Linked DNA regions of Stegostoma tigrinum. The protein of the gene in region 1 interacts with the protein of each later gene in a biochemical or structural test. Links are inferred from orthologs where the notes say so. Each region holds a gene or a part of one and is shown in the gene's direction. Other genes may lie near its edges. The genes, in order: txnipa; solute carrier family 2, facilitated glucose transporter member 1-like.

Region 1 (15,497 bases):
TGGACACCACCAGCCTGGGGAAAAGACCTTGGCTACTCACCTTATCCATCCAACTCATGATTTTATAAACCTCTATAAGGTCACACCTCACTCTCCAACAGTCCAGAGAAAATAGTCCCAGCCTATTCAGACTCTCCTTATAACTCAAACCCTCCAATCCTGACAACATCGTTGCAAGTCTTCTTCCAACTCTTTCAAATTTCACAACGTCCTTCCTCTAACAGGGAGACCAGAATTAAATGCAGTATTCCAGAATGTTCTAACCAATGTTCTGCACAGCTGTACACGACCTCCAAACTCATTTACTCAATGCACTGACCAATAAAGGCAAGCAGACCAAACGTCTTCTTCACTATCCTATTTCCCTGTGACTCCAATTTCAAGGAATTATGAACCTGTGCTCCAAGGTCTCTTTGTTTAGCAACACTCCCCAGGACCTTAGCATTAAGTGTACAAGTCCTGCCCTGATTTGCCTTTCCAAAATGCAGCACCTCACATTTATCTAAGTTAAACTCTATCTGCCACTTCTCGGACCAATTAAGGTCCGACTGTACTCTGTCGTAACCTTCTTCACTATCCACTACACCACCAATTTTGGTGTCATCTGCAAACTTAATAACCATACCTATGTTCACAATGAAATCATTTATATAAATGATGAAAAGTAGCAATAGACCATTCTTAACAAATGTGCCACTGCTCTTTTAAAAAGTCTTTAATCTGAAGGCGCAATGGAGCCAAGAATATCTTCAAACATTGTGCAGATTTTTGTGAATGTAAAGTTATCTCTGAACTGGAGCCTCATAAATGGTCCAAGACTGAGTCAGCTCACAATACAGCTTCAACTTGTTCTGTACAATGAGATAGGCAGGCCACACCTTGATGCTTGTACTTAGCATAAACAAATCAATTAATGCTCAAATTGATGCTGACTGACAAACTTTCACTTCAAGGCTGTACCTTGTAACAGTGAGTGACCCAGAATCTATTCCAGTCATACAGCATCCCAGCAAATGGTTTCCAGAAACCGTGAGTCTGGAGACTGTACCCTAGTAATAATGAGTGCACACAAGGCTGTATCCCATTAACAGTGGTTATAGAAGGTGTTTAGCATGCTAGCCTTCATTGCTCAGGCCTTTGAATACAAGCGTTGGGATGTAGTGTTGAGGTTGTCCAGGACGTTGGTGAGGCCTCTTCTGGAGTACTGTGTCCTGCTTTAGGAAAGATATTATTAAGCTGAAAAGGGTTCAGAAGAGATTTGCCAGCATGACACTGGGCATATTGGGTTTGAGTTATACGGAGAGGTGAATAGGCTGGGGCTTTTTTCACTGGAGCGTAGGAGCTTGAGAGATGACCTTATAAAGATTAATGAAATCAGGAGGGGGTATAGATAAGGTGAATGGCAGATGTCTGTTCCCTAGGGTGGGGGATTTCAAGACAAAGGTTCATATTTTTAAGGTGAGAGGAGAAAGATTTAGAAAAGACATGAGGAGTATTTTTATTTACACAGAGCGCGGTTCGTGCGCGGAATGAACTTCCAGAGGAAGTGATATGGGGGACACTGACACAGTTAAAACATTTAAAGGACATTTATATAGGTACATAAATAAGAAATGTTTGGGTGGATATGGGCCAAGCACGGGCAGGTGGGACTAGTTTAGTTCGGCATGGACTTGTTGGACAAAAGGCCCGTTCCCGTGTAGTATGACTCTATGACTCTACAACAGTGAGTGACCAACAGACTGTATCCCAGTAACATTGAGTGCCAAAAAAATTCAATCCCAGTGACAATGAGTGTCCAACAGTCTGTATCATGGTGACAATTAGTGTGTTAGAGACTATATTCCACTAATAGTGAAGATCTCAGAGTTTATCCCAGTAACTACAAGTGTATGGACTCTGTGTCCTAGTAACAGATACTGTCTCAGACACTGTATCCCAGAAACAGGGAGAATCCCAAACACTGTTTCCCAGCAAACAGTGAGTGCCGAAGGTACTGTATCTCAGTGACAGTGTGTGTCCAAGAGACTGTATCCTAGTGACGATGAGTGTGTTACAGATTATTTTCTACTTATAATGAGAGTCCCACATAGAATCTCAGTAACAAAGTGTATTTGGAACCCTGTACCCCAGTAATAATAATTGTCCCATGGACAGTGACCCAGTAACAATGAGTTTAATGGAGGCTGTACAGCAGTAATCGAATGTCATAACGGCCAGAGCTTTCCAACAAGCACCAAGACATCACTTAGCTGCAGGTGTGAAGGGTACTACCTGTGTGAGATCCTTTTTGTGGACACAGACTCTCTGTGCCACCAAACACTACCCTCGAAGTGGCTGTGGGGCGTGGGGGGACTATCACAAGTCTCCTTCTGGAATGTGCCTTTGCAAAGGAAGTCTGAAGTGAGATGCAGTGGTTTTGTTGAGGTTTATCCTGGGCAGCTTCGTGACACTAGGACTCTGTTGTTCGGTCTGTTCCCCAGGGCACACACCGAGACAAACATCGACTGCTCCTGGAAGACCATCAACAGGCACACTTTGGTGTGCCCAAAACTTGTTGGTCTTCCAGATCAAGGAGTTGACCTCAACTGTGTGTTGCAGATTGGCACGTTCCAAAGTCCAGGATTGCATGCTGAGGAATGCACTAAAATCTGGGGGCGCTACTACCAAGGCACACTGAGGAAAGACCACCATCTAAGGTCTTTTTGAAGTTAAATGGCAAGGGGGTGGATCTAATCTGTTATCAGACCCACCCTGTGCCTCAAATGAATTTAAATATGGTACTGTCCAGGTAAAGAATGCCTTGGGTTTGTTTGTTAGATAACGTCAAACTCCAGTGTTTGTTTCTTCATAAGCACTATGCAGAACTGATCTGCTTTAGTGACTGTGTGTATGTAAAATATATTTTTGAGGTAATTGAGTGTCCCATTGTTGTATCCCAGTAGATTTGAGTGTGTTCGAGACTGTATCGCAGTAACAGTTGAGTGTCTCTAGAGACCCTAATCCAGTAACAAGGAGTGTGATTGAAACTGAGTAATAGAGTATGTTTAAGACTGTATCCTCTGCTGAGTACAGACTGTTTGGACTGGAAATTTGATAAGTTCTAAATAGACTATTGATTATCAGAGGTATATAATGTCAATCATTGCTTGTGGATTAATCATAAAACCGTGTCAAGGGATTTGAAAGTTTCAGTTTCATCTGGTCACATTGGGACTGTTTAAGAAATACACATATAGTTGACAGTAATTATTGTTTATTGTTTACAAAGCTGCTGCCGATAATTAATTAAGAAAGTAATTAACCTGAAGGCAAAGGGAAGTCCAGAATGCAATTAGACTTTGAACAAGTTCATGAGAAAGTGAGGTTGTCGTACAGTTGTAGATTTTGTGAATTACCCGACACTGAGAAAGTTGATAGCACAGTTTTGAACACGTTACGTACAGTGAGATAAATAGGCCATTCCTCCAGACTCCGACTTGGCATAAACAAGACAATCACTGCTCGGAATGGTGCTGAGTGACTCATTATCATGTTTATCCTGACAATTCTGGCTTCTGAGACTGCAATGCTTGCATAAATACTTGCAGGGGCAAGGCTGTGGGGCAAGAGCAGCAGTGAGGCAGAAGTTGGGACATGATCCCTGAGACAGTGCAGTGCAGGAAGTGCTCATTTGGTTCTTTGTGTTGGTATGGACCTCTCTCATCAGTCCCAACACCCCAAAACCTTGCTCCTTCCCCCACAGGCCATGCCCACTTAGGAGTTTCACTGATTTGCCCCTCTTTTGAAAGTTCCTCTTGAATCTGCTTTCATCACCCTTTTAGGCAGCGTAGCCCAGATCACAAAAATACTTTGTGTCTAACTGTTCCTGTCTCTCAGGACCTACAAATCCTCATTGATCTGCGCCCTTCATAGCAGACGAAAAAGTTTCTTCTAATCAATTCAAATGAACTCACTTCACAATTTCGAATGCCTCAGTTAAATTGCTCTTTAACATTCTCTGACCTAACGTCAATCATCCACTCAAATTCTCCAGTCTGTCCGTGTCGCAGGCTTAATAGTCTGAAAGTCCTCAATATGTGCTGTGAGCTTTCTAACATTCTGTTAACACCTTCCTCCATGGTCCTATTCTGGTAAATCTCCTTCCACTCAGTCTGAGGCATTAACAGTCTTCCAAAAGCACAGGATCCAGAATTGGACACATTTCTGCATAATGGCTGAGATTTTGTCCCCAGGTTGGAGATGCTCAGTCTTCAACCACTGACAAGCACAGCTGAACAAACTGTTGGTCAAGGGTGATCGTATCTCTTGGGATCAACCTCAATTTTGATTTGGCAAGGATCTGAACAAAACCCTGCATGGCTGGCAATGAAAAATATTTTTACATCAGAAAAGGACCTAGAGTAGGCCACTTTAAGTCTGCTCTGCCATTCAATAAGATCATGGTTAATCTGATTTTAACCTGAATCTAGATTCTTGCATATCCCCGATAATCTTTCATCCCCTTGGTCATCAAGAATCTATATACCTCTGCCTTAAAAATATTTATAAATTCTACATCTAGTCTCTTTTGATGGAGGGAATTCCAAAGACTCACAACGCTCCATGGAAATAAAATGTATCATTATCTCTGTTCCAACAGAGCAACGTTTTTTTTCAACTCTGGCCTCTAGTTCTAGATTCTCCCACAAGAGGAAACATCTTTTCTGCATCCACCACCGCCCAACACTTTCTCGTTATTTCACCAGTCTGATGCAGGCAACAGAGAGCAAAGACCAAGGAACTGGAAGGTTTTTGATTAAAAATAAAAATCACAGAGTTTCAGGACAAAACAATTTGAACGTTTGAAGGAACGGGTCAAGCTAGATTGAGGACTCCATCCCCTCCCTCCAGTTCCTCCTATCTGATCCAGCCTCCCCTTCTGACTCTCTTCACTCCCCTCACCTTATCTGCCCCCTCACACTCTCCAAATTAAACAACCACCCCATCTCTTTACCCTGCATCCCTCTCCCCCAGTCTCCTCCCTCCCCTAATGTCCCTGTACACCTCTCCAGCCTCTCCCCACCTCATTCTCTCCCCGCTGTCCCACTTCCATTTCTCACCATACTTCTCTTTCTTCCCTGTCCTTTTCTCCCCATCCCTTTCTACCTCCTTTCCCAAAATTCTGTTGCTTACTGCGCCCACCCGCTCTTCCCTCTTGTCTCCCCACCCTCTACCACCACTGTCTCCTCCCCTGCCTATCACCTCTCTCTTTATTCCCCCTCCTTTCTCCCCTCGCTTTTACTCTCTCCCTCTCTACCTTCCTCACTTTCTTCCCCCCCCAGCATCTTTCTCCCATTCCTTTTCTCCTCTATATGTCTCCCCACTCATTCTCTCTCTCTCCCCTTCCTTTTCTCCCCCTCCCTATCTGCCCCACCATCTCCTTTCTCCCCGTTTTTCTCTCTCCTCACTTTGCCCATTCCCTTTCTCCCCCTCTATCTTCTTTATCTCTCCTCACTTTCTCTCCCCCTTCTCTTTGTCTGTCCCATCTTCTCTCACTCTCTATTCCTTCTCACTTTCTCTTCTCTCCTTCTCTTCTCCCTCTCCCCCCCTCCCCTCACCTCACACTCTCCCCTTTTATCCTCTCTCCCTATCACCCTCACTTCCTCAATATTCCTCCCAATCTTTCCCTTTCCTCTCTCTCCATCCTCCACACTCACTTTATACCCTACTTCTCTGTCCATCCTATCCCCACTTCCCAGTTTTTCTCTCCCCTCTCTAAAACTTTCTCTCCCTTCCTCTCTTTATCCCTTTCTCTATGCTCCTCACTCCCTTTCTCCATCCTCACTCTCTCTATCCCTCACTTACTCCTCATTCTTTCTCACACCCCTTCTATTCCACCATCACTGTTCTCACTCTTTATCCTACCTCCAACATTCCCTCTCCCTCCTCACTTTCTCTCTGCCCTTCCTACTCCCTTCCTATTCCCTTCCTACTCTCCACCCAAGTCCATCTCTTCCTCCACTGCCTCTCGACCTCCTCACTTTCTCTCCCTCCCTCTGTTCCCCCATTCCCTTTATCCCGATCTTCCCCTCTCATTCATTCTGTCTCCTCACCCTCCCTCCCTTCCCCTCAACACTCCCATTCTTTCTCCACCACAATTCCTCTCTGCCCAGCACTCCCTCTCTCCCTCCCCCTACACTCACTCCCCCTGCACTCTCTCTCTTCCCCCCAAACACCCTCTCCCCCCTCCATACTCCGTCACCTGACTTCTCTCCCCCTCCACACTCACTGACCCCCCAACTCCCTCTCTCCCCACTCCCTCATTACCTTCCCCCATTGCCCCCAACTATTTCTCACACACCCCACCCTCTTCTGCCCCAACTCCCTCACACCCACCACCCTCTCTCTGCCCCATCCTCTTCTCTGCCCATCACATCCCGCACTCCCTCTCATGCCCCCCCGCCATTCCCTATCTCTCTTTACTCCCCTCTGCCCCCATTTTCCCTCTCCGTTTCCTCACTCTCTCCCCTTCAAAGCCCCACCCTCCAGGTATCGGGGTTTTTGCCGTGATGTGGAGGTTCCCTTCTCGAACCGGGGTGGACACGGTCAAAAGTCACAGGACACCAGGTTATAGTCCAGTAGGGTTATTTGAAATCACAAGTTTTCACAGCGCAGCCTCCTTCATCAGGTGAAGTGAGAGAGGAGCACACAGAATTTATGAGCAGAGGGATCAAGGGCAAAAGATCATACAAATAGTGTGAGTGGAGTGTTGAATAATAAATCCAAAGTGTTAGATGGTGTGGGTAAAGTGTTAACAGCTAACAAGGGATAATGTATAATCCGATTAAATGAGGTAGAGAGATAATTACAAAAAAATTAAAATAAAAGGAGACAAACTAAATAACTTGAATAACATCTTAGGTATAAAAATGGCAAGCCGATTGTCTAACGAAAGCAATAAATTATCCAAAACTTTTTGCAACACGCTGACCTCATCCTACCATCGCTCACCCGAAACCGAGTGTAACAATCCCTCTGTCCAATGGGATGGCGGTTGCTGGCGGCTGCGGACAGTGATTGGCCGCCAGGCCCTGCCGGCCCCACCCACGGGCCGGGGCGCCGGAGATCAGGTCCTGTGCACGCGGGCCGCCGGCGCTCCGATTGGCTGCCGGCCGGGTAAACAAGCAGCATCGGCCAATGGCAGCGGCGAGCACGCGGCGCGCAGGAGGAGGCAGGAGGAATGGCACGCGCGGGGGCGGTTGGAGGAGAGCGACGGGGGAAGGGGGGCGGGGAGAGGGCGGGCGGGGGCGGGGCAGGGGCGGGTGAGGGGCGCGCTCAGTCACACACCGACCGACTATTGGTGCAGATAGTGGGAGGGGGGCGGAACTGGGGACAGATCCGACAGCGATTGGTGGAAACGACGGGGGGGGACGGCCGTTGGGAAACGGGCGAGCACCGTCAAAGCTATAAGTAGAGGCGCGGTGCGGGTACGCAGAACAGATCGAACTCACACAGTGACAGCGGAAGAAAGGATTTATCGCTGTGATACAGCAAGAGGTAGTAGCCAAGCTGGACGCTAACATGGTGGTCAACAAGAAGCTCCTTCCCACTTTTGAGCTGGTCTTCAGCTCGGAGCGCACCTACACGGCCGGCGACAAGGTGGCCGGGCGGGTCCGGCTGCAGACCGCCCAGCCGCTGAGGGTCACCGCCGTGCGCATCGTCGCCCTGGGCTACGCCCGAGCCCAGCTCCTCAAGGGCTCGCAGCCCCTGCGCCAGCAGCAGGATTACCTGCACTTCCAGGAAACGCTGCTTCCGGATGGAGAGAACCGGACCTCAGGTGAGAGAGAGAGAGAGACTTCCGGTGGGCTCAAGGATCAACTTCCGGTTATAGGGGAGCTGGTGGGGGTCAGAGGTCAGGTCCTGTTTATGGGGGGCGACCCTGGGGTTTGGGATTGGGTCAGGGTCCCGTTTAAAAGTTAAATACTGCTGCTGGGGGGTGGTCTTCATCATCAGACCCGTATTTTTTGGTGGGGGGGAGGAATCAGGCTCCTGTTTAAAAGACAAGTTGCTACTGGGGCAGGGGGGCTCAACAGGCTCCTGTTTAAAGGGGGAGCTCCTTTTGGGGGGGGTGGGGGTCAGCAGGCTCCTGTTAAATGGGAAATATTTGGAGATGGGCAGCCTCTTCGTTCGAAGGAAGGAAAGGGGGGGGGGTGGATTTTGTTCAGTCTCTTGTTACAGGAGCCATGGGATCCTTGCTCCTTTCAAAGGATAAATGGGTTGTCAGTTTCTGGTTTTTCTGTGTTGTTGTTGGCCTGTTATAGGGGAGATCTAGGGTTCTGTTAACCCAGACCACCTTGACCCTCTTCACGTTAAGAGGAAGTTAAAGCATCAGTGCCCTGCTAATTGTGTAGATGTCTGTCTATTGTGGTGGAGACGATGGTGTTTATCTGCTCCTTTTAAAGGCAGGATGGTGTTGGTTAATGTACTGTTAAGAGTGGTGGTGGGGTGGTCAACAAGTTATGTAATTGGGTGTACGCTTGTTTGGGATCAGGGCATTCTGCAGTGCGTGCACCCATGGTTGGGTTGGATGACCGTCTGCATGACTTCACACACTGATGACTTCCTCTTATCTTGTGCAGACATTGATGGATCTATGTTCCTGCAGCCTGGCAAAATGTACGAGTACAGTTTCAGCTTCCAGATACCAGAAGGGTAAGCTACCTTTATTCTTACCTGTTCGACCCTGTTGTGCCATGGTCGCACATTTTTGGCTTGGATGATGCTGCCATTGCAACTCCTAATTGTGTGGCTGTTTTTTTGACAGGCCCTTGCCCCCCTCGTTCAAGGGCAAGTATGGTGGTGTCTGCTACCTCGTAACAGCATATGTTGATCGGGAGAAGCAGCCATCCCTGGAAACCAGCAGGGACTTTGATGTGGTCGAGCCCATTGATGTCAACACGCCAACCTTACTAGTGAGTAATGGGTAGCAGTTAATGTAAATGCGAGGCTTAGTGCTGAATCAAATGACTCTACTTAGCATCATCCTAGTGTTGAACTAGGGTAAGTGTCAGTACTGACATAATTAGAGGTTATGAGGTAATACCAGAGTCACCCATTGAAGACAGATGGGAGGACTTTCTTCTTTCAGAGGAGAGTGAATCTGTGGAATTCTTTGACAGAGGATAGTTGAGGCTATTAAATATATTCAAGGCTGAGATAGTCAGATTTTTAATCAGGAAAAAGGGGAAGAGGCATGAAAGTGGAGTTAATGATCAGATCAGCCATGATCTCATTGAATGGCAGAGCAGACATGACAAGCTGAGTGGCCCACCCCTTACTGTCATAGTAGCTGCATTGCTGTTGGCTTGAAATCTATCTCAAATGTCAAACTATATTTTCTGTGTTCCTTTCAGTCCCCAGTTGGTGGGTCCAATAAGAAGAAGGTGACTTGTTTCTTCCTGTCTGATGGTTACGTGTGCATTGCTGCCAAGATTGACCGGAAGGGTTACTGCCAAGGTAATGGTCTTGGTCTGTTTTCTGGCTCCGTGAACTGTCAGCTTTTCTTGGTTTGTGACAATGCCATGAATCTCAACAACACTTTCCTTCCTTTTTGCCAGGTGACCAGATCTGCATCAATGCCCAATTCCAGAACAATTGCTCACGTATTGTGATGCCCAAGGCAGCCATCTTGGCAAAGCAGACCTACCAGGTGAGCGGCAACACCAAGGTCTTCAAGGAGAAACTCAACAGTGTCCGGGGGAACCACATCATCTCGGGGATGTCTGAATCCTGGTGTGACAAGTGCCTGCAGATCCCCACCGTGAAACCATCAATCAGCTCTCACATCATCTGCTTGGAGTACTCCCTACTGGTGAGTGATGGGCAGGATGTTGCAACTTCCTGGGTGTGCCACCTCTAGTGTTGCCTGTAGTTGACCCATGATGTGGTGTGATTCCTCAATGAGGAGAGAAGGCGAGGTGCTCACAATCATGAGGGGTGGGGACTGCACTTCAGTTGGGTGTCTATCTCTAGGTTTATTCATTGTTCCGCCTTCCGGAACACTCTAGGGTAGTTTTGACACTGTTGGGATTAATAAGAGGGTTCTTTTTGAAGTCTCCTGTTTGATGTTGCTTTGTTTGAATGACTGATGTTCTCCCTCCCCACAGGTTTATGTCCACATTCCAGGCAGCAAGAAGCTGGTCCTTGAACTCCCTCTGGTCATTGGCACCATCCCATACAATGGCATGAACAGCCGATCATTCAGCAATACCAGCAACTGCAGCAGTGTAAGCAGCAGCAGCATGAGCTGGCCCCACATGGAGTTCCCGGAGCAAATGGCAGGTAAGGGCTTGCAGGTACACTCCATGGCGGCATCTGGGCCTGGCTATGTGGGGGCAGTGAGCTTGCAGAGCTGGTTTTCCTATCTGTACTGGCTGACTGATCTGGAATGTTTCCTTTGCAGCCAGTCCTTTCCATGTGTGCTCTGCGAGTCACTGTCTGGAAAGCCCCACCACTCCCTTGTTGGATGATTGTGATGGCCTGCCAGAGAGTCCCATCTTCATGAAGTCTGCAGTGTTTAGCTACGGGTCATCGCCGGTCAGCTCGGATGTGAGTAAGACAGTGCCAGTTGAGAATTGGTAAACTTTCCCATCACCTGAATCTGACATGGGCCTAATGATGAATTTTCCCTTCCTTTCTCCCCACAGGTGGATGAGAATGGGAACTGCGAGTGCATGGTTGAGTGAAACTGCAGAGTCCTGCAATGACTTTTTATAAACACAGACTTGGACTCCAGTTTAAATCACCGTATGCGTTTTCAGATGCACTTAACGGGGAGGGCCTGCAGGAGCTGGGCTGCGCCAGCGAGAAAAGGTCAAGGAAGAGGTAGTGTGTGCATGCATGAAGGTCTCGACCTGTTGCTGACTCCCACCGTGAGATGGTCGAAATTCCTAGAGTTACGTCATGCCACTCAGTAATCATGGGGACACTCTGTACCTGTACTGAGCTGAAGGAACCTGGCTTGTTTTGTGAATGAGGGGAGCTACATGTTGTGCAGTTACAGATTTACAAATAATATTGTTTAAATTGTTGATTGCCATTTCTTTCTGTTCTCCTGAAGAATGTTTGATATCTTTTTTCCTTAACTGATAGGGCAACACAGATATTTCACTGCTTTGTGCCAGGCTATGGACTTGTGCGCAAGGTGGCAGATGATTATGGCCATCTGAGGTAACTAGTAAACCATACCTTAGCTGGTTGAACATGGGGCAAGCACTGAGTGTATACCCTTCCTCCATCAGTCAGTCCCTGTTTCTGCCATCGTCTGGCTTGAAGGAAGATGCTAGTCTAAGAAACAGAATTTGGTCATTCCAGATATCCTGAACAATTCTCTGTTGGAAGAAATGCTGCCAAACTTTGCATTTTCACTGCAGTATTGTCCTGGCACTTATTATTCTGATTTGTTTCTTCACATTGCCTTGTACCATCATCGGCAGCATTCTGCTAATCAAAAAGGGCATTACTTGGTACCTGTTTTTAGGCAGAGGTTTATTTCTTTGGTAGCTTTCTGTTTGAAGGTCAATAATTGCTGACATTCTAAAACAGCAAGCTTCATGTTGTACAATTTGCTGTTTTTTTGTTTTTTTAACAAGCAAGAAACATTTCAAAACACTCCACTCTGCTGTTTGTATAACATTTCCAGTTTTGTGTAACTTTGTACTGAGGATGTGAATCCTGTGTTTCTTTTTTCCCAAGTCTTCCCATAAGTCTTCTGACTATCTGAGCTCATTGGGGAAATATATCTCAGTCTAAAGTGTTGTTTTGACAAGGATTTTATTCAAATATTTTTGATTTTCTAAAATTCTACTATGTGGAATCTGCCAAATGTTATTTTGTGTATTTTTCTAAGCTAAGTATTTTATTTTGTAAGTGTGATCAATTTTGAATAAAGTTTTTAAGTATTTTACAACATACGACAATTGTTGGACATTTCTGGAATGTGTAGTAAGGTTTAGTGTTTCCCACTGGTAGCTAATGGCCAAGCCAGCAGGATGCTTAATGTTAGAGACTCGGCCTCCTGCCAATACTCCTGGAAACCTCATACTACTTTGCATCAGTGGGAGATTGCATGTCTCTCGTGCTTGTTTCCAGTTCCGCTGGTGTAAAATTTTACACTAACCCATTTATGCTGGAATCCACCAACATCAGCTTTCATCTTTGAAGACCCAGTTCATTCATTCTACTCTTAGCTCCAGACATGCCTCCAAACAAGGCAGGAGCTGACACAAGACGCAATTGGGAAAAGGTATCATTTGATGGTCTGAGTGCTTAGTGTGCATGGGCTCAATCCTACTTTGAGCTGCTTGGGGTGGGGTAAGACAGGGTAGGAGGTGTGGGAAATGTGAATGTTTTGATACTCCTCGACCATTTGTGTCAGCTGGCATTGAATAATAACCATGCAAAATTGCTGCTTTGTTGATTTGCTTAATATCTTTCAGGGACAGGGGTCTGCCACTCCTATCCTGCATGTCCTGACTGAGGTCCTGTAAAATGAGAACAAAGGGCAGTCCCACAAGATTCACTGCCATCCAACCATTCATCTGACTTAATTGATTCCTTTCAGAATCCTAAAAATGTGAACAAAATCTCCCCATCTTTCACGTGCCAGATCATCAAAAGACATCCTTACATGAAAGGAGGCCATCTGGCCCATATGTTCTCTCCTTCCCAGTCCACTGACCCCCGCCCCCCCCCCCCCCCCTCCCCACACACACACACACACACACACACACACACACACAACACTGCCCATCTAGCACAACTACCCGTCTAGCACAGCAACTCCAATAGTCAATAGACAACAGGTGCAGGAGTAGGCCATTCGGCCCTTTGAGCCAGCACCACCGTTCCTTATGATCATGGCTGATCATCCACAATCAGTATCCTGTTCCTGCCTTATCCCCATAACCCTTGATTCCACTATCTTTAAGAGCTCTATCTATCTCTTCCTTGAAACTATCCAGAGACTTGGCCTCCACTGCCTTCTGGGGTAGGGCATTCCATGTATCCACCACTCTCTGGGTGAAGAAGTTTCTCCTCAACTCTGTAAAATAGTGTCCCAACTCCCTGCCCACCCACTTCAGATAATTCTCCAACCTTCTGCTGAAAGCTTCAATCAAATCTTCCTCCACCACACTCTGCAATATGTAGCTGTTGATTATAATCAGTATCCATTGTGTCACTCTGGGTCTGGTGGTCCTTGCACTTCAAACCTCCAATGGTTCATGTATCTGCAGAAATGCTCTTTGGGGAATTTTGCATGCTGAGCCCTTTGTCCATTAAGTTGCTATGTGCTCTATCCCACTCACACTCTTGCAGTTCACCTGCCAATGTGGGCCATCCCACACAGTTGCTTGGTCCGAGCAGGTGACGGATGTTTTGCTGAACTTGCCAATATCCTGGTGCTCTTTCCCAGCATGAGTCTAAAGAATTCCCCTCAAGTGAAGGTAGTATTCCAATGTTAATTATAACCTGCTTGCTCTGGAAAAGCAGTTCCATCTCCTGAAATAAATTATCTGTTTGTGAGATGATTGAATGTGATTGGGATCTGGAAGAAAGGAATCGTTGGAGAAACTCAGCTGGTCTGGCAGTATCTGTGGAGAGATAGCAGAGTCAACATTTCAAGTCCAGTGACCCTTCCTCAGGACTGGACCCATGACATTGATTAAAAACGAAAAGAACAGTGGATGCTGTAAATCAAGAACAAAAACAAAGTTGCTGGAAAAGCTCAGCATGTCTGACAGCCTCTGTGTGGGGAAAACAGAGTTAATGTTTCAGGTCCGGTGACCTTTCATTAGGACTGAGGAAGTTCTGTCCCAATTTTTGTCCCATCCCTAATTGCCCAGAGGGCAGTTAAGAGTCAAATCAAACATGCCACTGAGAGTCTGGAGTCACAAACAGGTCAGGTTGGGTGGGGATGACAGATTCCTTCCCTAAATGAGATTAGTGAACCCAATGTCTTTTTCTGCCGTCAACAATGGTTTCATGGTCATCATTAGCTGCTTAATTCCAGATTCTTTAAACCTGGATCCCCAGAGCATTAGCTGACTTCTCCAATGGCAGTCTGTGCTGCAGAATTCCACAGATTCCCTAAACCCTGAAATCCAACCTTCCCTGAACTGCCTCTGATGCCAGGAGAGAACTGCAGACAACATGGACTGATGGTTTTTGTAATTTGCATTTTTAAGTTCTAGGATCAACAATGATCACATCATAGCTGCGTACTCCATGAAGTAGAAGAAGTGGGGGAAGCGATGGCCTAGACTGTCAATCCAGAGACCCAGACAACATTCTGGGATCCAGGTTTGAATCCTGCCACAACAGATGGTTGAATTTGAATTCAATAAAATATCTGGAATTAAGAATCTAATGATGACCATGCATCGATTGTCAGAAAAACCCATCCAGTTCACTCATGCCCTTTAGGGAAGGAAGCTGCCATCCTTACCTGGTCTTGCCTACCTGTGACTCCAGACCCACTGCAATGTGGATGACTCTTAAGATGCCCCCTGGGCAATTAGGGATCAGGCAATGAATGTTGTCCAGCCAGTGATGCTGGAAAATAAAGGAAAAACAAAAGTGGTCTTTGTGTGTCAATGCCAAAATCTAAACCAGCCAACTGCCTGAAACTAATGGGCAGCTTGTACAAGATTGCCTGGTATTCCAGCATAGAGGTCACCTCAGCCTCTCCATGTCTCTATGAGGATGATTCTGTCCCTGAATAGTCAACACAGTTAATTCCCTGGTGCTGACAGCATTATTTGTGTAAAGTGTGCTGATATTTGACACTGCTGCTTACAGTACATCGAGAACGTCCATCATCGTCAAGCGCAGAATTCTCCAGTTGTTGCCGGGATTGCTGCCTGACTAAGCCCTCGCATTCTTATCCGTGTTTGCTGGAGTAATGCCTTAACTTGGATCCTCTGCACACACCACAGCTGGTGAGTGCCAAGCACCAAGTAAGGTGGTGCTGAGATGAATTAAGCACAACCGGTCAGGCACACTGCCAGAATAACACACTGTCCAAAGCCCTCGCAATGCTCCTAATTATCCGGTCTCAGCCTCAATTAAACGTCATTCAATTGTGGAAGTTATGCTCGTCCGTTCCTAATTGCCCCTTGAGAAGTTGGTGGTGAGCTACCGTCTTGAGCTGTCCAAGTGGTGTACAGAAATTCCAGGATGTTTTCCTAGTGATGCTTGAAGGAATCTTGATATATTCCCAAGTCAGCACGGTGTCTGGCTCAGAAGGGAGCTTGCAGAGGATGATGTTCCCAGTTATTTGCTGCCTTTGTCCTTCTAGATAGTCGCGGTCATATTTTTGGCAGGTTCTTCGGATGGTTGATGCAGTGCATCTTGTCGATGGTACATACTGCAGCTATCGAGCATCAATGGTAGAAAGGGTGGATGTTTGTGGCTGGGGTGCCAATAAGGTGCCAATCAAGCTGGCTGCTTGGTTC
Region 2 (14,991 bases), on another chromosome or scaffold:
CACCATCTTTCGTCACTGGGCCCACCTCCGCCATTGCCTCCAGCAATGTAGAAACTGTGCTGGCCCCAGTAGAGTAAGTAGGGGGTCACTCTACATTGGGCTTACTCACCACTGCACCAGGTTCACGCTGGGATCCCTCACTCCAACCTCCAATGCCATCCGAGCTCAGGACAAGGGGTAAGTAATGGACAAGGGAAGAAGAAACAAGAAAAGAGAAGAAGAAAGAAAAGGAAAGCAGAGTAGTGGAGAAGCCCCCGCTTAGGAGCCCTACTCCACCACTATCTTGATGTCAATTCACTGAATATACTCAAGAAATAAATAGATAGAGTTCTGAAAGCTAAAGGTGTTCCAAAGTATGAGGGAGAGTGGGATCATGGCATCGAGGTAGAGGATCAGCCATAATCATGGTGAAGAGTGGAGCACGCTCGATGGACTGATTGGCCTCCTCCTGCTGATGTTTTCCAGGTTTCTGTGAGGCCTTATTTTACAAGGAGCTCAAAACACAAACAGTGTTCTTTAAATCTTTACTTCAGGAATCTTGCAGCCTGCCAGTGGGACATCCCCAACATTTCACAGCTACAGTTACAAGTGCATGTCATGTCAGGGTGAAACACTCTATCATTTCCTGTATGATAATTGCAGTATCATGGAGAAGGAGCTGGTTAACATGTTGACTCATGATCTGATGGGGCAAGATTAAGGGAAGCTGAGGGGGATGGATAGAACATGCAGCCAGAACGAAAGGAATGAATAAATATTACTGCCCTTGAGGAGACACTCAGACTCCTCTGCTGAAATCTCAAACCAATCCCCTCTGCATTAAGATAACCAAGTGTGAAGCTGGATGAACACAGCAGGCCAAGCAGCAACTCAGGAGCACAAAAGCTGATGTTTCGGGCCTAGACCCTTCATCAGAGAGGGGGATGGGGAGAGGATTCTGGAATAAATAGGGAGAGAAGGGAAGGCAGAACGAAGATGGAGAGAAAAGAAGATAGATGGAGAGGAGAGTATAGATGAGGAGGTAGGGAGGGAATAAGTCAGTCCAGGGAAGACGGACAGGTCAAAGAGGCAGGATGAGGTTAGTAGGTAGGAAATGGAGGTGCGGCTTGAGGTGGGAGGAAGGGATAAGTGAGACGAAGAACAGGTTAGGGAGGTGGGGACAAGCTGGGCTGGTTTTGGGATGCAGTGGGGGAAGGGGAGATTTTGAAGCTTGTGAAGTCCACATTAATACCATTGGGCTGCAGGGTTCCCAAGCGGAATATGAGTTGCTGCTCCTGCAACCTTCGGGTGGCATCATTGTGGCACGCAGGAGGCCCATGATGGACATGTCATCTAAAGAATGGGAGGGGGAGTTGAAATGGTTTGCGACTGGGAGGTGCAGTTGTTTATTACGAACCGCGTGGAGGTGTTCTGCAAAGTGGCCCCCAAGCCTCCGCTTGGTTTCCCCAATGTAGAGGAGGCCACACCGGGTACAATGGATACAGTATACCACATTGGCAGATGTGCAGGTGAACCTCTGCTTAATGTGGAAAGTCATCTTGGGGCCTGTGATGGGGGTGAGGGAGGAGGTGTGGGGGCAAGTGTAGCACTTCCTGCGGTTGCAGGAGAAGGTGCCGGGTGTGGTGGGGTTGGAGGGGAGTGTGGAGCGAACAAGGGAGTCACGGAGAGAGTGGTCTCTCCGCAAGGCAGACAAGGGTGGCGATGGAAAAATGTCTTGGGTGGTGGGGTTGGATTGTAGATGGCGGAAGTGTCGGAGGATGATGCGTTGTATCCAGAGGTTGGTGGGGTGTATGTGAGAACGAGGGGGATCCTCTTGGGGAGGTTGTGGCGGGATGTGTTGTGGGAAATGTGGGAGACGCGGTCAAGGGTGTTCTCGACCACTGTGGGGGGAAAGTTGTGGTCCTTGAAGAACGTGGACATCTGGGATGTGCGGGAGTGGAATGTCTCATCCTGGGAGCAGATGCGGTGGAGGCGGAGGAATTGGGAATAGGGGGTGGAATTTTTGTAGGAAGGTGGGTGGGGGGAGGTGTATTCTAGGTAGCTGTTGGAGTCGGTGGGCTTGAAATGGACATCAGTTTCTAGCTGGTTACCTGAGATGGAGACTGAGAGGTCCAGGAAGGTAAGGGATGTGTTGGGGTTGGCCCAGGTGAACTTGAGGTTGGGGTGGAAGGTGTTGGTGAAGTGGATGAACTGTTCGAGCTCCGCTGGGGAGCAAGAGACGGCGCCAATACAGTCATCAATGTAACGGAGGAAGAGGTGGGGTTTGGGGCCTGTGTAGGTGAGGAAGAGGGACTGTTCCACGCAACCTACAAAGAGGCAGGCATAGCTTGGGCCCATGCGGGAGCCCATGGCCACCCCTTTTGTCTGTAGGAAGTGCGAGGAATTGAAAGAGGAGTTGTTGAAGGTGAGGACGAGTTCGGCTAGGCGATGAGGGTGTCAGTGGAGGGGGACTGGTCGGGCCTGCGGGACAGGAAGAAGCGGAGTGCCTTGAGGCCATCTGCATGAGAAATACAGGTATATAGGAACTGGGCGTCCATGTTGAATATGAGGAGTTGGGGGCCAGGGAATTGGAAGTTCTGGAGGAGGTGGAGGGCGTGGGTGGTGTCACGGACGTAGGTAGGGAGTTCCTGGGCCAGGGGGAAGAAAATGGAGTCCAGATAGGTGGAGATGAGTTCGGTGGGGCAGGAACAGGCTGAGACAATGGGTCAACCAGGGCAGGCAGGTTTGTGGATTTTGGGAAGGAGATAGAAACTGATCACCATCTGCATTAATACCTCTGATATCCTTGACGTTCAATTGTGCAAAACATGATTGAGATTTGCTCAAATTGTTTTAAATCTCTCTGTAATCTCATTTTTCCCTATTTCCATAATCACATCCCACCCCCCAATCCTCCAAGGTCTCCTTACTCTTCCAATTCTTACCAGATGGTCATCTCTCCCTGATGACTATTGTATCCTCAGCTCCTACTCTGTAAATTCTGAAATACTCCCCAAGCCTCTCCATCCTTTATTCACTCACTCCTTCTTTAAGAAGCTTTTTAAACCTACTTGTTTGACCCTGTCCTAATCATAAGACCATAAGACATAGGAGTGGAAGTAAGGCCATTCGGCCCATCGAGTTGACTCTGCCATTTAATCACAGCGGATGGGCATTTCAACTCCACTTCCCTACACTCTCCCCATAGCCCTTGATTCCTTGCGAGATCAAGAATTTATCGATCTCTGCCTTGAAGACATTTAACTTCCTGGCCTCCACTGTGCTCCGTGGCAATGAATTCTACAAGCCCACCACTCTCTGGCTGAAGAAATGGCTCCTCATTTCTGTTTTAAATTCACCCCCTCTAATTCTAAGGCTGTGCCCACGGGTCCTAGTCTCCCCGCCTAACAGAAACAACTTCCCAGCATCCACCCTTTCTAAGCCATACATTATCTTGTAAGTTTCTATTAGATCTCCCCTCAACCTTCTAAACTCTGATGAATACAATCCCAGGATCCTTAGCCGTTCATCATATGTTAAACCTACCATTCCAGGGATCATCCGTGTGAATCTCCGCTGGACATGCTCCAGGGCCAGTATGTCCTTCCTGAGGTGTGGGGCCCAAAATTGGACACAGTATTCTAAATGGGGCCTAACTAGAGCTTTATAAAGCCTCAGAAAAACATCGCTGCTTTTATATTCCAACCCTCTTGAGATAAATGACAACATTACATTCGCTTTCTTAATCACAGACTCAACCTGCAAGTTAACTTTTGGAGAATCCTGGACCAACACTCCCAGATCCCTTTGTACTTCTGTTTTATGAATTTCCTCACCGTTTAGAAAATAGTCCATGCCTGTATTCTTTTTTTCAAAGTGCAAAACCTCACATTTACTCACGTTGAATTTCATCAGCCATTTCCGGGACCACTCTCCTAAACTGTCTAAATCTTTCTGCAGCCTCCCCACCTCCTCAGTATTACCTGCCTGTCCACCTAACTTCCTATCATCGGCAAGCTTCGCCAGAATGCCCCCAGTCCCTTCATCCAAATCATTAATATATAAGGTGAACAGCTGCGGCCCCAACACGGAGCCCTGTGGGACACCACTCGCCACCGGTTGCCATTCCGAAAAAGAGCCTTTTATCCCAACTCTCCGCCTTCTGTCAGACAGCCAATCCTTAACCCAAGCCAATAGCTCACCTCGAACACCATGGGCCCTCACCTTGCTCAGCAGCCTCCTGTGAGGCACCTTATCAAAGGCCTTTTGGAAGTCTAGATAGGTAACATCCACTGGGTTTCCTTGGTCTAACATACTTGTTACCTCTTCAAAGAATTCTAACAGGTTTGTCAGGCATGACCTCCCCTTACTAAATCCATGCTGAGTTGTTCTAATCTGACCCTGCACTTCCAGGAATTTAGAAATCTCATCCTTAACAATGGATTCTAGAATTTTACCAACAAGCGAGGTTAGGCTAATCGGCCTATACTTTTCCATCTTTTGCCTTGATCCTTTCTTAAACAAGAGGGTTATAACAGCAATTTTCCAATCATCTGGGTCTTTCCCAGACTCCAGTGATTTTTGAAAGATCACAACAAAGTCTCTGCTATTTCCTCAGCCACCTTCCTCAGAACTCTAGGATGTAGCCCATCGGGACCAGGAGATTTATCAATTTTTAGACCTTTTAGCTTTTCTAGCACTTTCTCTTTTGTAATGCCTACCATACTCAACTCTGCCCCCTGACTCTCCCTAATTGTTGGCATACTACTCATGACTTCCACTGTGAAGACCGACGCAAAGTACTTATTAAGTCCTTCAGCTACTTCCTTATCTCCCATCACTAGCCTTCCAGCATCAATTTGGAGCGGACCGATATCTACTTTTGCCTCTCGTTTGTTTCTTAGGTATTGAAAGAAACTTTTACTATCATTTCTAATATTACTAGCTAGCCTACCTTCATATTTGATCCTGGATGTGAGTTTGCTCGCTGAGCTGGAAGGTTAGTTTTCAGACGTTTTGTCACCATTCTAGGTAACATCACCAGTGAGCCTCTGGTGAAGCGCTGGTGTTATGTCCCGCTTTCTATTTATCTGTTTAGGTTTCCTTGGGTTGGTGATGTCATTTCTGACCTTCCAGCTCAGCAAGCAAACTCACATCCAGAACCTCAACCTGAGCTACAAATCTTCTCAAAACTTGACATTTGATCCTCTCCTTCCTTATTGCTCTCTTTGTTATCCTCTGTTTGTTTTTGTAGCCTTCCCAATCTTCTGATTTCCCAGGGCTCTTGGCCACTTTATAGGCTGTCTCTTTTTCTTTGATACATTTCCTGACTTCCTTTGACAGGCATGGCTGTCTAATCCCACCCCGGAAAATCTTTCTTTTCTTTGAGATGAATTTCTGTACTGTGTTCTCAATTACATGTATAAACTCCTGCCATTGTTACTCTACTGTCTTCCCTGCTAGGCTCTGCTTCCAGTCGATTTTCATCAGTTCCTCTCTCATACCCCTGTAATTACCTTTATTTAACTGTAACACCATTACATTCGATTTTGCCTTCTCTCTTTCAAACTGCAGACTGAACTCTACCATATTATGATCGCTGCCTCCTAAGTGTTCCCTTAGTTTAAGATCTTTTATAAAGTCTGGCTCATTACATAGCATTAAGTCCAGAATAGGCTGCTCCCTTGTGGGCTCCATCACAAGCTCTTCCGAAAAAGCCATCCTGCAAACATTCCATGAATTCCCTTTCTTTGGATCCACCAGCAACATTATTCACCATTCCCACCTGCATATTGAAGTCCCCCATAATCACCGTGACCTTGCCTTTCTGACATGCCCTATCTATTTCCCAGTGCATCTTGCGTCCCTGGTCCTGGTTGCTGTAAGGAGGTCTGTACATAACTCCCATTATGTTTTTTTTTGCCTTTGTGGTTCCTCAACTCCACCCACACAGACTCCACATCCTCTGACCCTATGTCATTCAGTACCGTATGAGCTACGAGCATTTAGATAAAGTGCCTTAATGCTAATTTTAACACGAATTTTCTCTCAAAAATGTGATGATGTTAATGGGGTCATCCAGAGCAAGAATAATTAACCAGGGGATAGTCAATGTCAATTGCATAAGAATGGATCTGGCTCAGAATAATTGGAATCAAAGATTAGCAGCAAAACAATAATTGAATGCTGCGTTGCCTTTATTGAAGAGGTATATTCCTGCAAAGAGGAAAGCTAGGACAAACAAGTTAAGAGCTCCCTGTATGATAAAATTGGTTGAAATTAATACAAAGCAGACAAAGTGTGTCATATGTCAGATGTTGATTAGAGAATATCATTGTGATCCAGGCTAAATTCAGAGGTTTCAAAGTAGAACTGAACACACAAACAACAGAAGTAAAGAGAAATTAAGAAAAAAGACTGGCAGCTAAAATGAAAGGGATCCGAATTCTTCTGTTAACTTATAAGTAAGAAAAGAGAGGAACTAATGAGCAATCAAAATAAGGTTTACACATGGACACAGGCAGCATAACTGAGGTATTAACAGGATATTTTACATCTGTCTTCACCTCAGAAGACGATTTTGCCCAGACCATGAGGTTCAGACACTTGAAAAGCTTAAAATTGATAAGGAGGGCATATTCAAATGGGTGAATACATTTGATGTAGATAAGACACCAGGAGTGATTGTGATGTATCACAGATATGGAGCCAAACTGCTCACCATATTCCAAATGCGATCTGACCAGAGCCTCATACAGCCTCAGCAGTACATCCCTGCTCCTGTATTCTAGCCTTTCTGAAATGCATTTGCCTTCCTAACAGCCAGGTCAACCTGCATGTTAACCTTAAGAGAATCCTGAACTAGGTCCACTAAATCCCTTTGTGCTTCAGATTTCCAAAGTCTTTATCCACTTAGAAAATAGTTAATGCCTTTACTCTTCGTTCCAAGGTGCATAACCTCATGCTATCCCAGATTGTATTCCATTTGTTACTTCTTTGCTCACTCTCCTAACCTGTCCAAATCCTTCTGCAGCCTCCCCACTTCCTCAACACCACCTTTCCCTCCATCCATCTTTGTGCAACACACCCTCAGTTCCTTTGTCCAAATTGTGAACGTAAAATGTGTGGTCCCAACACTAACCCCTGTGAAACTGCACTAATCACTGGCTGCCATCCTGAATATATATACACAAGGGAGAATGTCCTTTAATTGGTTCAAGAGATAGCTCAACAATTTGGTGGCATTCTGGTCATATCATTTCTATACTATTAGTTCACCGTCTACAATTACACCATGGATCATGTGCCCGAAATGTCATGGCTCTGTAAAAGTAAATTGTACCTGATGCCATTTTCTCTAACATTCCCCTGCTCTTCACTCCAAAATATTCTGGCTCCTACATACTCCTAGCTTTCCAACTCTCCATCTCCATCATTTCATCCCGTTTCCTATTAAGGATGGTAATTTATGAAAAAATGGCAATGTTCTAGTGCATCTTAGCAGTGAAAGGACTTGCCCCATGTCACCACTTTTACTCTCACAGCCTTGGCAACTGATTGAAATCTGATTACCAGATCATTCATGTCTTCAAATTCAGCAAAGTCTAAGTAAACAATGCGATCACACGCATCTATGCAACTTTCGGGGCAAATGATCACTTGGGTAAATATGAATTCATTAGGGAAAGTCAACATGCAGTTGGGAAGGGAAAATCATGTTTAGAAAACTGACTGGAGCTTTCTGATGGGTTATCAGAGAGAATTGATGAGGACGATCCTGTGGAATTGGTGTACATGTCTTTCAGGTGCTATTTGACAAGAGCGAGCGAAACAACTTGATTCAGGACGAGCATCTCACACCGTGATAGGGGCAGGATCATTGAATATTTTGGGAGTCAGGTAGATCCTTCACGAACAGGGTGAAGGTGGTTGGGAGGGGGTGGGAAATTGGGGGTCGAGTATGGAGTAATCAGATCCTCCATGATCACATTGGATCGTGGAATAGCCTCGATGGACCAAATAGCCCACTCCGGCTGCTAATTGAAATGTTGAAATAGTCTTTGGTGCACAATTCATGGAGTACCTGAAGTTAAAACAGATAAGTAAACTGCAGCGAAGTTATGAGAAAGTTTTGGTGTCTGGTTTACACTCGGGATGTTTGCAGGCTGCCCAGTTCGGATCAGAGTCTAACCTGGGAAAAAGAGGGACGCAGAGCCTGTGCTCTCCCTCCAATTCAGGGGAGCCAGTTCCTGGGTCAAGGTCCTGCCGTCCATAAATATATTGTACAATGACTTTCAACAGCTAACACTCACTTCGAAAAGTTCATGTGAGTTTAGAAATGGAAACGGCTCCTGCCAATGGAGACTGAGCGTGACTGTAACAGGATCTGCCGTGGGCTGGAACCTGCATCACTCTGGGAGGTGGGACAGCTGCTCGGTTATTTGGGGGGGGGGGTGGGGTGGTAGGATGCTGTCATGGCTACTGGAGACTATTCCGTGCAATCCTCAGCAAATGGTAAAGTGGCAAGCCCATCACACACCCCTCAGACGTCACCCATTGATATCCAATCCCATTCAAAGCACACACACAAAGAGCAGTTCGTTGCTTGGAGCAGGATATTACATGAGCGTTCGAGGAGAGACAGAGACACATACATACAAGGAGGTTCCAACACAGGGAGATGACTTTGTACCTTATCACAGATATCTGAAGAGGATTTGCTGTGAGGACTTACTGCGGGGTTCAATCATAGAAGACTTTGAATAGCGTGATCAAAGGACATCACCCAAGACCAAACTACAGCCGTCAACGGATCCTTCATCTGTGTGACAACAGCATGGCCACAGACAAGGTATGGTTTATGGAACGCACTGTGTCTTATTGGGGTCCCCCCCCCCCCACAACAACACGGCTTTAAAAAGCGGTGACCACATTCTCCGGACAAGCCTTTAACCGGTTTGGAGTCCTTCAGAATGGAAGATTTTGCAATTCGAAAGAAGCTGGAATTTAATGCATTTTCCTTTTAAGGCAGTTGGTTGGTGTGTTGTAGTTTGTAATGAGGCCGGAGAACGGGGTAGTTAGGTAGCAGAATGATGGAGGTCAGCCACAGAGAGTGCTGGAGGAGCTCAGCAGGTCGGTGGAGAGAGAAGCAGACTTCAACATATCGAGTCTGATGTGACTTCCCGAAAGCAGCAACAACTGAAAGAAACGCTGTGATTGCTGGGGCAGTGCTAATTATGTTTTACACTCTCTCACTCTCTCTCACACTCTCTCTCTCTTTCTCTCACACACACACGCTGGGGGAGGGAAGGATGGAACAGAAAAGGCCGTGTGACCAAAACAATGGGTACAGCGCGTGGTTTTAACCGTGCAGAACCAGACACGTTATTTTTACAGAATTCACAGCATGAGGAAATGCTTTAACGCTGTCATTGAAATGTTTGTCTCTCCGATTTAAAAACAGAAGCCTGGATGTTTAAGGCTTTTCTGGGAGGTAATGCCCGGGACAGTGAGGCAGTTTCAGATGTAAAACCAGTTCATCATTAATCTCCACCCTCAGCTACAGATACACCTTTAAGAGTTGGGCAGTGTTTTAAAATGGGTTCGTGTCACACTAACTGGAAAAGGGCAATAAGTGTTAAATATCTGAGTGAATTTCCGCCAGATTTGACATAATTAAAGTTTACCAAGAGCGGAGCTGTAAAACCAAATGTTAGTGCACATCCCCAGCAATCGTTGAGTTCAAAATGTCTCCTTTGTGTTTAAATACAGCTCGGCCAGATCCAAAATGGTTCGTGTAGCTAAACCAGCAGTCTGCTTTCAAAGCTTATCAATTATTTTACATTGTAAATTCCGCCACGGGACGTGTTGTAGGGGGTGGAAATGTTGCAGTTTCGACCCCCTTCCCCCGATAGCTCAGGAGCTAGTCTCAGACGCCCTCCCCCCTCCGACTCCCGATTGTTTAGGAGGTCTCAGACCCCCCCCCCCCCCCCCCGACTTAGCTCAGTAGTTCTCAGGTGAAGCTGCTGCAACAGGAATGTGTACATGACCCAGTGAACGTACAGCTCAGCCTGGGGATAGCAGGCTGCTAGTTTATGATGTACTTTTATGGTGGGTTTCAACAATCTGCAACTGCACTGTCCTCTCTGGGATAGTTAACACTTCATATGCACCCTATTCTCAAACCCGTTGGCCATTTATTACATTCTAACACCAGACTCTGTGTGTACGTGCCTGTTTGCATCAAGCAAATATCCCAAATTAAATCACCAAATTTCGAATAATCACGCCTTAACTTCCGCATCTAAAACGATTTAATCGTTTCCAGCATTAACTGAATTTCCCATCTTTGGGGTTTGGGGGTTGCTATTGGCGGTGGTATCTCCGTCATGTGGAGGGAACGAAAAAGCTTAAGTGCTTTCACCGATCTGCTGTTGTAGCAACAGAGAATATCATAAATTCTTAATCAGCAAAATTCACAAACAACTGGACCAACAAAAAACCCTCATCTTCATTCAACTGAAATAACTTGGCAAGACACCAGAAAGGTGTTAAAGCAACAAAAAAGTTTTGGGATGTATGTCTTGATGAAAATCAGCATTTGAAAGTTATACCAATTAAAAATTATTTGGATTCCACATTTCCTCTAGAAGATGGGGTCAGCTGTATCTTCTTGTATGATCAATCTATGATAAGTGCTGTGTTAGCAGGGACCCATTCAAAAACTTTGCGCAGAGTTGCTCAGTAATATTCACAATGAATGTTTAACATGGCTCATTAGTTTTTTTGCATTCGTTAAATGCAACGTTTTGTTGCATCTTTTTAAAGGGATAGAAACATAGACAATAGGAGCACGAGTAGGCCGTTCGGCCCTTAGCGTCTGCTCCACCATTCGGTGTGATCATCCAACTCCGTCCCCTGTTCCTCTTTCTCCCGTATCCTTTGAACCCTGTAGCATTAACAATCCTAGGAATTATCTTGGTCGCCCCTAAATGCACCTGGTTAAACAATCAAAACTGTTCAATGCTGTTGAGCTGTTAATAATTTTATTCCCAAAATGTAGCCAACAATGTTATTTAATGTAAGGAATGCAGCTAACCTACACACACACACGTGCACACATTAGAGTTTTAAATCAGGAACTGCAAAAAGATTTGAGGAGAGTTAAAGTGCCAGCAAGGATAAGCGAGAACAGAGTAGTGAAATAAGTGCCCCGCCAGTTTTCAGGGTGGCATTTGTAAGCTGATAATGAGAGATAGAGACTTTATACAATATAACAAAGTGTGAAGCTGGATGAACACAGCAGGCCAAGCAGCATCTCAGGAGCACAAAAGCTGACGTTTCGGACCTAGACCCTTCATCAGAGACTTTATACAGACTTCCCCATATACACACTACTGTTTCTGATACTTGTTGCATGCCCTGATTTTATGAAATGCAATCTTCACACAATTGCATGGAACTAGAAGATGGTGACTGTGTGTGTGTTTTTCCAGGCTGTACATACATTAGAAGTGATGGGTGTGGAGTGTGAGACAACAGGCATTTGAGCTGTAGGTTGATCCTTGCTAGTCTGCTCTTGTTCACACTCTGTGATTCATTGGATAGCACTCTCACCTTGGAGGTAGAAGATTGCAAGTTCATGTTCTATGACAGAGACTTGAAACTATTTTCCAGTCTGAACCTGTAGTGCAGCACTGGGGGAGTGTTACAGTGGCAGAAATGCCATCTTTCAGATGACGTGTTTAAACTAAGGACCTCTCTGAACTGAAGATGGTGTAAAAGATTGCTGGACAATGTGTTTCAAGGAAAATCAGTGGACCCCCCACCCATGGCTGAGCCAATGTTTACCTTTAAAACAACATCAGATGATCTGCTCATTGTATTGCTGCTATCTGGGATCAAACTGTGCACAATTTGGCTTGTGTGTTTCCTATATAGCAATAGTATAGTAATTTGGCTGGGAAGCAGCCTGGGTCATCCTAAATTAGTGAAATGTGTTAAATATATCCAAATATTTTCTTCTACTGCGTCACAAAAGTGTTTGGATCATCAGAAAAATGATCACATGGGAGACATGTCATACCAAGCTACTACCCTGGGAAGTCTCTAAAAAAGACCCAGTGATTTCCACAATTAGAACTATGAAGCAGTTTGCTGTTTATGTAACATGTCTTGTGATTTTTAAAGTGCTACAGACCTGAGTGACACTGAGCAATATCAGACTGCCTGCTGCAGGAAAATCACTTGACTCGCTCACATGCAGGACACTGCCAAGGTTAAAAGGATAAGATAAATCAGGAGCCTGAGATTAAGTGATGTTTGAGAACTTTATTTGGAACTGTTACTTCATGCAGTATTAAATAAGTCTACTGGGTATAGTGATGCAGCAATAAAGCACTGCGCAAGAGAGATCTTTAATTGCCAGAGGGTTTCCAGTAGGAAATTCCTAGTTTTAGTAATGAAGTTGCTCAGTCTTATTAACATGCAAATGATGTTGGAGTAACTGTGGAATTCAGTGTATTTGGTGAATGGTGCAAGTGTGTACTGGCAATATAAGAAGAGAGTTCCCACAGGGGTGGCAGTTTTATGTCAGTAATAGGGATTGTGAGACAGTAGGTAAATCAGTGTCCACACGAACTCCTCCTGGACCCTGGGCATGTCTTACCCACCTTGTTAGTTTCACCGATGCCTCCAGATTTGCTGTTGCCTGGTGTCAGAGACAGGCAAGTATCCTCACTGGGGCTGAAGTTAAAATTAGGATCTAATGTTGCACCCAACTTTGATCGAAATTATATGAATTTTGCACCCATCAGCTTTGGTTTGTTTAAAAACACTGGTTAAAATTAGAGACAGCAAAGCCCCTGGTTGAGTGCCCCAGGTTATTATGTGTCCATGAGCCCAGGTTCTGCCAGAAAGGTCAAGTTTAAAAAAACTTACCTCTTCCCTCTCAACTTCTCAGAAGTTGTTTTGATTTTTTTTCACAAGTCCTCATTCCTTCTTCCGGAGCTTGGAATTTATTTTGCTGAATGTATTCTCCATAGTTGGGTATAGAAGCCCCTAAAACTCAGTAGAAAGTGAGTCTCTCCAGTGACGGGCTCCAACTCTCAATTCGCAGAATTTAAGCTCCATGCCGTGTATCTGGGATTCTGACTGTTTCAGAAAACCTATGGAAATAGAAAGAACAATAAGGCATTATTTACGTTATGAAAACAGTCCAGGAGAGGCAGTAGACAAATATAGACTCCTGAAATTTTTTGTCTGCTGCTGGCCTATTTATTTTTCTTCCCACTCCTGCCCATAATTAAGGCAACAGTCACGCAATTTCGTTGGTGAAAGTGAGGAAACCTGGCTTTACAATTCAAGGTTAACTGAAAACATGAAAAGAGCTCACATTGTGTGCTTGTGATATGTGGGTGATGCTGATTGCATTAATTTCCTGTCTGTAGCTGCTGACATTGAGAAGGTGATGGTGAGCTGCCTTCTTCAATGGGGTGTAGAGGTGCACACATGGTGCTGTTAGGGGGGGAGCCCCTTCTGAGATTTCATTCATGGCCCTGACTGGTTGTGCCCTTGAGATAATCAGCACTGGCTGCCCGTAACCACAGGCTTTACATGTACAATAACTCTAATTACCCTTTTGATATAACAAAACCTTCCGAGATATCTCAGGAGAGTGTTATAAGCTAAATATACTACATAAGTATATATTTGATCTGATGACCAAAGCTTGATGAAGGAATTAGATTTGGAGGAATAGCTGAGTTGTCGGATGTTGTAGTTGTGGGATTCCAAAGTTTCTGTTGTCAGCAACTGGAGGCAAGAGTAGACCTATCCATTAGTATGGGAATCTTACAGAAATGTAGATTTGGAAAATTAAAGCACAGCATTTTTGCTGCACAATGTAAGACTATGTCTAGGAAACGATAAACTTGTGGTATTATCACTGGACTGTTCACCCAGAGAATGTGTTAATTTTTCCATAGAATCCCTCCAGTGTGGAAATGGGCCATTTGGCCCAACAAGTCCACACCAACTCTTTGAAGAGACTTTCTCCTTTTCCACCCCCCCCCCCCCCCGCCCCGACCCCAATCTTATCCCATCCCTGCAATTCCCCACCACTAATCCACCTAACCTACACATCCTTGGACACCTTAGCCAAACCGCCTACCCTGTACATCTTTTAGACTGTGGGGGTTTGCCAGAGCACCCAGCAGAAATGGGGAGAATGTGCAGACTCCAAACAGACAGTCACCCGAGGCTGGAATTGAACCTGGGTCCCTGGCACTGTGATGCAGCAGTGCTGATCACTGAGCTATCATGCCACCCCATGCTATGTTCTGGAGACCCAGGGTTCAGATTGTGCAAATGGTGGAATTTGAATTCAATGAAAATCTGGAATTAAGAATCTACTGATGACCTGTAAAACAACGTCAATTGCTGGAAAAACCCCATCTGGTTCACGAATGCCCTTTAGGGAAGGAAACTGCCATCTTTACTTGGTCTGGCCTGCATGTGACTCCAGACCCACAGCAATGTGGTTGACTCCTAACTGCCCTCTGTGCAATTAGGAATGGGTAATAAATAGTGGCCTAACCAGTGATACCCTCATTCTGTGAATGAATATAAAGAAATTTCCAGCACTTGGCTGGTAGCCCTGAATGCTGTGAGGTTTCAACTGCTCATCAAAATACTTTGCAAATTGGCTTGGATATTTTGACCAAGGAAAAAATGTTCGTCCGCAATGTCAACATTCTTTTGGTCAACTGTAGTTCAAGGCATTCTGAATCCTTTTGAATTATGACTTTAAACTGAAGAGAGACCTCTTTGAACCACATGTCCTCAATGACCTTAGGTTTAAACAGGGAAACCTGAATCTCTTATGTTTCTCGCTCTTGCTCTCGATCAAGATGTTGGTCACCTAGTACCTCCTGATAGGAGTAGTGTTCAATTCCAGGTTGGGCTATCAAACTAAAATTATAAAAAATCTTTGGATCTATTTTTAAACTGCTA

What was found.
Region 2: the proteins of txnipa (region 1) and solute carrier family 2, facilitated glucose transporter member 1-like form a complex in vitro, tested with the Homo sapiens proteins (2 studies listed by BioGRID). The link is inferred for Stegostoma tigrinum from reciprocal best matches to the Homo sapiens genes TXNIP and SLC2A1.

Annotation. Positions count from the first base shown.
Region 1 is NC_081400.1:7,694,443-7,709,939, reverse strand, and holds txnipa (thioredoxin interacting protein a), read left to right. Parts: upstream 1-7,467; 5' UTR 7,468-7,563; coding exon 7,564-7,819; intron 7,820-8,621; coding exon 8,622-8,694; intron 8,695-8,806; coding exon 8,807-8,954; intron 8,955-9,395; coding exon 9,396-9,498; intron 9,499-9,599; coding exon 9,600-9,853; intron 9,854-10,148; coding exon 10,149-10,323; intron 10,324-10,444; coding exon 10,445-10,590; intron 10,591-10,688; coding exon 10,689-10,727; 3' UTR 10,728-11,952; downstream 11,953-15,497. UniProt on the Homo sapiens protein: May act as an oxidative stress mediator by inhibiting thioredoxin activity or by limiting its bioavailability.
Region 2 is NC_081381.1:10,221,900-10,236,890, reverse strand, and holds the start of solute carrier family 2, facilitated glucose transporter member 1-like, read left to right. Parts: upstream 1-8,568; 5' UTR 8,569-8,815; coding exon 8,816-8,830; intron 8,831-14,991. UniProt on the Homo sapiens protein: Facilitative glucose transporter, which is responsible for constitutive or basal glucose uptake. Has a very broad substrate specificity; can transport a wide range of aldoses including both pentoses and hexoses.